Linked DNA regions of Xenopus tropicalis. The protein of the gene in region 2 interacts with the protein of the main gene of each other region in a pairwise test. Links are inferred from orthologs where the notes say so. Each region holds a gene or a part of one and is shown on either strand. Other genes may lie near its edges. The genes, in order: shc2 and kdrl.

What was found.
Region 1: the proteins of kdrl (region 2) and shc2 interact in a two-hybrid assay, tested with the Homo sapiens proteins (2 studies listed by BioGRID). The link is inferred for Xenopus tropicalis from reciprocal best matches to the Homo sapiens genes FLT1 and SHC2.

What each region holds. Positions count from the first base shown.
Region 1 is NC_030677.2:105,531,363-105,534,578, forward strand, and holds part of shc2 (SHC-transforming protein 2), read right to left. Parts: intron 2,748-3,216; coding exon 2,567-2,747; intron 2,450-2,566; coding exon 2,383-2,449; intron 1,965-2,382; coding exon 1,800-1,964; intron 1,475-1,799; coding exon 1,179-1,474; intron 1-1,178. UniProt on the Homo sapiens protein: Signaling adapter that couples activated growth factor receptors to signaling pathway in neurons. Involved in the signal transduction pathways of neurotrophin-activated Trk receptors in cortical neurons.
Region 2 is NC_030684.2:46,963,420-46,967,254, reverse strand, and holds part of kdrl (vascular endothelial growth factor receptor kdr-like), read right to left. Parts: intron 2,996-3,835; coding exon 2,867-2,995; intron 2,577-2,866; coding exon 2,470-2,576; intron 925-2,469; coding exon 789-924; intron 1-788. UniProt on the Homo sapiens protein: Tyrosine-protein kinase that acts as a cell-surface receptor for VEGFA, VEGFB and PGF, and plays an essential role in the development of embryonic vasculature, the regulation of angiogenesis, cell survival, cell migration, macrophage function, chemotaxis, and cancer cell invasion.

The DNA.
Region 1 (3,216 bases), on a different chromosome or scaffold from region 2:
TGGTTTAAAACGATTTACTCTGATTGAAATACCATTTGCAGGATATTTCACTGTGTATATGAAAGCAATAAAGAACACAAGGACCCATTTTGGGGACCAGACCTAGCTTTTAAGAATCACTGTGCTATAGCTTTTAAATAAACTGGTTTCCCATATACCTTACCATACCTCTGTGCCACCCTGTAGAGGAAAGAAATACCTGCTTACTTTTTTAATCCTTCTTTTGTGTGAATTACATACAGAATCTATTTGGCAATGTACAGTTGCAGGTAATGATGCAAAATAATGTGTTTGGGGTTGATTTAATTTTAGTGGTATACAAGAAGAGAAGTATTTGTTTGTAATTAAAATGCACACTGATTTTGACCTATTTAGATATCAAATTATTGTGTGCTTAAGCAAATAGTTTCATATTGCCAGCACCAGATTTGTCCGATGAGCGCCCAGAGGCTGCCCCCTGCCAGCCGCCCCACCCCCAGAAGCACATCTTGCACGCAGAGCACTGGGGACAGGACAGGCAGAAATCTCCAGTGCTTAGACCCCAGTACTCCATATGTAAGCGAAATTCAAGCATGGCTGGACAGCATGGCGCCCATAAATTTGTGCACCCTAAGCGAAGGCCTTTGTGGCCTTGCCACAAATCCGGGACTGCATATTGCAGTGCCACTAGCACCAGTAGATGATACTGTTAGTGCACTGCCCTGGTAAGAAATATTGCTTATATGGATACACTGGGGCTCATTTACAGAGACTGAGCAAACTGACAGTAGTAGCAAACAATCTACAATAAGCTTTGAGTTGTGCGCTAAAGATATAAAAATGAAGCAAATCTCTAAATTGTTACTATATGTTACTGTGTAATAGGCAGTTTTCCCAGTGTTTAGTTATTGAGCCCTACTGACCTTCATTACAAATTACCTGCATTGCCTGACTGTGCCTTTTAATGTGTGGAATCTGCCTTGCATTTTGTTCTGACAAGTTAATCAGTGGCTTACGATAATGTGTCTTGATTTAAAAAAAACTTATACAAGCACCAACACCATAACCTTCAAGATTGTACTCCTTTAGTACTTGTATATCTGTAAACACCCATTGATTCTCTGGTTCATTAGGGTAGAGGAAAAATGCAATATACACCAATTCCTCTATATCTGTATAATAATGAAAAAGTCTCTTACCACGCCCTCTGGATCCACCAAGAGAAGATGTTTGGGTTGCCCTTTGTGCATACCCGTCAGGACATACTGCCCAGGGTTTGTTATGCTATCACGCACTAGGAAATCTCCATCTCGCTGTAGCAACTTTTCAGCCTCCCTTCTGCTCATCTTCCCTTGGTACCATGGTTCCCCTCTCAGCTGTTCCTCTGTGGGAGCCACCGGCGCTCTTCTGGTTGGGGGGCTTGGCCACTGATCTTCTAAACTTTGAGATGCTGATAAAGAAGACTCATGCAGCTTTAGAGCATCTTCAAATGGTCCTTAAGCAAATGGAGATAAATAAGAAAACAGGGCTACCATGTTATCTTAACACATCTGATTCAGACACTGGTAAAATCTTAAAGCTAATATTTTACCAATTGGCAACTTTCATAAGCACTTGGTAAGAAATTACAGAGCAATCATAAATCAGCTCAGAATATGAAATATTCTTTTAAGCCCCACACCCCGCCCCAAGCCCATATACAGTATATACATCTTATAATGGTTCTTTATTACAGAGTCAACCATCATTCCCAGTGAACAACCAAGTTTTATTTCAGGTATTGAAAATGCTAATATTCCTCCTTCCCTATATACACTTACTCATGTCAAAGAGATCCTTCTTGGGACTATCCTCTGGAATCATGTATGGTTCCTTGTCAGCAACAAGACCATCAAGGTTCTGTGTATTTACATACATGTGTTCTTCATAATCGCGTACACCAAAGGCCCGACCATTAGTCAGTGGAAACCCTTCGCTGGCCTGTGCTGAGGCAGAAAGAATTCAGTAATGAACAAACTGGTGCTATTCAGGTGCTGTTCAGCCCTGCACTCAGGGCTATTGACAATACACCATTTATACCAGAGATCCCCAACCTTTTTTACTTGTGAGCCACATTCAAATGTTAAAAGACTTGGGGAGCAACACAAGCATAAAACATGTTCCGGGGGTGCCAAATAAGGATTGTTATTGGTTATTTGGTAGCCCCTATGTGGACTAGTAGCCTACAGGAGGTTCTGTTTGGCAGTAAACCTGGTTTTTATGCAACCAAAACTTGCCTCCAAGCAAAGAATTCAAAAATGAGCAATTGCTCTGAGGCCACTGGGAGCAACATCCAAGGGGTTGGAGAGCAACATGTTGCTCACGAGCCACTGGTTGGGGATCACTGATTTATACTATACCTACCTTGGTCCTCAAGGTCCCACTGTGAACAAGAATGTGATACAGCAGGCTTTCTAGCTGGAGATCCAACCTGAAATGGGAGAAATGGCAGATCTTTATATGTAAGCCTTTCAATTTAACTGTTTGTAGTTAATGTAGAAAGGGGGGGAGGGGGGAGAAATAATAAGGAAAAAGGTAAAATACATACCTGGGACCACTGCCCATTTATATTGATTTGGGTGCTAAGCTGTCCAGTGGCTCCTGCTTCCCTTATTCGACTGTCTTGCAGCCCCCCCAGTGGGGGTTCTTTGCCAGGGATGCTGTTGTAATAATTATGTTCTTGCTCTTCTTCTCCACCCCATGCTGGCTCCTCTGTCCCCACAAGCAACCTATGGAGAGTTGTGTGATAGATGAAACATTCTTTATGGAATACCTAGTAACGTAGCAATATTTTCACAACAGTTATTGTTTTTTAGTCATTATAGTAATGAATAAATTAACTTTATTGAACCCTCTGGGTTTCATGTGAACTGAGCTCCCAAGGTAATAAACTGGAGAACTTCCATGTGAATGTGCTTTCTGCTAATAGAAATAAATGCACTTGAGATGACGTTGCTGCCCAGGAGAAGTAGTAATGAATGACGAGGGTAGAGATGAGAAAAACCAGAACACAGTCAAACTAGCTGTTTATTAGATCAGTGTCACATGATTACTGTAAACAGGAGCTATTATAGAAGCAGAGCCCTATTAAATGTACTGTTTAAATATGTAGAGACAATTTTCTCTTTCCAGAATGACTCCCCATAGAAAAGAAACCAACGTGTAACAATGAAAAAGTGTCATTACCTTAAATATCCT
Region 2 (3,835 bases):
ACTTAATATATCAACAGTGAGATCCTGAAAAAAGATGATTAGAACAGTACATTTTATAAAAGAGGCTTATGACTTTTATGATATTACTACCCCCGCAAGAGCCATAGATGGAACTTCCCATAGCAAGAACAAATGTTTTGGTTTGGTCATATCCTGTACAAAAAAAATTGTACCATCCAGCTTGGATTTCCCCTGCTCTCCAAACAATTCTGCAGGAAATTGTAAGCATATAGTGGTCATATAGAGTCCATACTCCGGACATGTTCTAAGGAGATGTAATGCTATGGAAGATATTGACCATACTAGATTGACATACCAGTCCTATAATGGTCATGTTTGGCAAGTAAGTATACAACTGTACAACTGTACTGCAGCAGAGGAATGAGAATAAACAAAAATTATCTCAGTGGACATATGCCATCAGATTTTCTTTTCAAAATTCAAGCAGCCACTGTTTATATCTGTACAATTTTTATGTGTTGCTATATAGATAAAAAAGCAGCACCATGTACTCTAAGGTGAAGGAATGTGTAGGTCATCGGGGAATTCACAACTAAAGATTTACAGGAGAAAAACTCCCTTGTGATAGAGTGAGCAGGTTGGAAAAAACAGAGATAAGGACAGACATCAAAGACGTCAGCAAAGAAACTGGATGGGATAAAATCTTTAAACATACAAGTATTTTTAGACAATATTTGGATATAGAAATATTCTATAAAGAAGAGCCAACTGCATTGTTATTCTGTAACTCAGGACTTACATACAGGAGACTGTCTATTTCCACTTACCAAGGCTGAGTCTGTCACGGGGAAATTCCCACTTGCTGCTGTCGTAGGGCAGCCTTTCACACTGCTCATCCAGAGGTATCTCATCTGGGTCCATAATAATGGACAGATAACCTGTCTTCATGTCGGAGCCATGTGGCTGCAATGAAAATTTCAGCAACAAGTTTAGTCCATGAAATTTAGTCCATTAATTTAAACACATTATAAAACTTCTTGAAACTCTCAAGCTAGTCCCACATGGGGCGGATTCTCTCCCTGTGGATAAACGCACATGCAGTTTTGCGCCACATTTCGCTTAGTGTGGCTTAGATTTTTCTTAGGGACGGATTCTCACCCTGCATTTATCCGCAGGCCGAGAATCCACCCAGTGTGGCACTAGCCTTAAATCAAGGCTGAACTATTTGATAGATTTCCTCGGACAACCTTGGATTGACTCATCTAATCCGACAAGTCACATATAGTTAAACAGGTCACAAAATATTGTAACTTATTTTAAAAAGAGATCTATTAGCTACATCGATACTTTGCTATTCAATGTGGCATGAAATACAGGTATGGAAAGACCCCATGTCCCAAGCATTCTGGATAGTACATAAATGCCCCACATGCATAAAAAACAAGTAAGCATCTTTGGGTAGACACATCTATTTAGCAAACTCTGCCATGGAGATTAGTGCTTGGGACTCTAGCATACAAACTATGCTTATAGCTCAGCAGAGACTCTTCACACTGCCAGTGATAAGCAGCCCTGCAGGTACCCCCTAGATGTTGCCATAATTTCCAGTAGCAATCAAATGCCTAGTGTGTCTGAATTTGATTTACAACTGTTACAACCTTTGACAGACAACTCTTGGTTATTGTAGACAATTTATGTAAATACTAGTAAATGACATAAGTCATAATTGCAGTGGATTAAAACTGAAAGGATTTATATTATAATCCACAAAATTAATTAAATAATTATGCTTTTTTTCCTGTCATTATCATAATCCTGTTTTGTCTTTCTAGAATCTGTTAATAGAGTTTATTATTATTATTATCATTATTGTATGTGTTTGGCATAAACAGGCAGGGTAGCAAACAACTCTACTGTATGGTAATAATGTTATGAAAATGTTATTTTAGTTACTGGAAATATGTGTATAGGCTACCTATAGGTCATTTTGCAATGATAAATGGGATTTTGTAACACAGGCAACATTTGTAACGTCACACACAACTGAGCATCTGCTTTCTTTTTTCTGCCCCCCAGCAGTGTTTTACAATACATACTTATAGGTTTACTTCCTTGGGTCCTCATGCTTGTCAAAAACAAAATCTTCAGAAAAGAGGTTGGTAGAAAAACACTGAGTAGGCATGCACGAATGCAAAACAGATTTACCAATAGTATAGAATGTTAGTTGGTAGTCTGCAGATCAGTAATTCCATTCATTGTGGACTGGAAAAAGTGAACTGCCATATTGGGTGTGGCTGGCTGTCATATTCATGAAATCGCTGATGTTATCATGCCTTGCCCCTATGCACTGTGTATAAATGGAAACTACCTGCACCTGTGCAAATGACTCAAAATATGTGCCCTGTAGGTGAATTTCAAACCGAAACTGACTGTGTGATCATGGCAACAAGTCAACTCACATAAGGCTCACAAAGCTGATCTACGTTTAACTTGAAGGCAATCACATACCTTTTTCAGCTTTCGTATGAATAAGGTAAGAAGTAGCCAAAACAATGTGGCTGCCACCCCTGTACAGACGAGGATGATCACTTCGATGTTTGATTTTTCCTCGACACCTACAATGAAAGGCATACTAATCAATTACAGATAACAAGTAAAATGTTTCTATTTTGTTGGCTCTGCAATAATCCAATGTATGAATACATTCAATAGGGTGCCACTGAGAAACCAATATGTCAGGACACTTGGCCATAACTTGCTGTAGAAGGGAGCTGGGTAAATCACCAAATCGCTTTTTCTTCCTTATGCCCCCTCCTGTCAGATTTCATGAGTATATAAGGACATTGCATATTTAAGATTAGAAATACTGGCCCCTTAGGTGAGACTGTTCTGCTACATAGCATACCTTGTACTGTAATGAAGGCAGATGTACTGACTTTCCCCAGTTCATTCACAGCTTCACATATATATACCCCTTCGTCATCCTTCTTCACCCTCTCAATGACCAGAGTGCTATTGTACACAAGGGTAATGCCTGCAAAATGGTTACAAATATAAAACTTTACATGGGAACTCATATGTTATCTGACAATATATAATGATGAACTCTATCCCACAAATAATTAGCTTTATGCATGTTTATGGGATGTAGCAACCTTTTTTCAAAGAATAACCTTGCCATTGTATAAAACACAAACAATTGTTGTGGTCCATAGGACCACTTATTAGTAAGGTTTTCTATGAAATGTATATCTTTATAATGTATATCTTTATAATGTTATTGTATAGCAGTGCTGTGCATTTCTATAACACTTCTATTGACAAAAAAGTACATTATAGACCAAAAGAAGGAGCAAAGTCAGGACTATTAGACTCTGAAGCAGACACAGAAACATGTATTTTTATATGTGCAAGACAAAAATATATTTCAAAGAACAGTATTTCCTTTTGTTCAGCATCAGTGCAATGAAAAAATGGCTTGTTGACCATTGTTTTAACCATAAAAATGTATGGTTTTTGTTATTCTTTGAGCTAAACAGGGAAAAAGGTTTTGCCAGTTACTCGAAAAAACCCCCAATGAATTTAGAAACTACCTTTGAATAATTATTCTGAATTATATTTAATATACATTTTTACTGGTCAAAAAGGTGTTATTAACCAATATTTAAACTGAAGCAACTGGGACTATCAGAGAATACGAACCCAATATGGAGGGGTGAATCATTTGTATGGGAAACATGGTTAGAAGAATCTATTGGACTGTACATTTTGTGATAAATATATTAGAAAGTTATTTATAATTAGTTTTTTTTCATTAGGCCAATATTTTGGGTTCACTGCTCCTTAAAGGTGTGGCTCACCTTTCAATTAACTT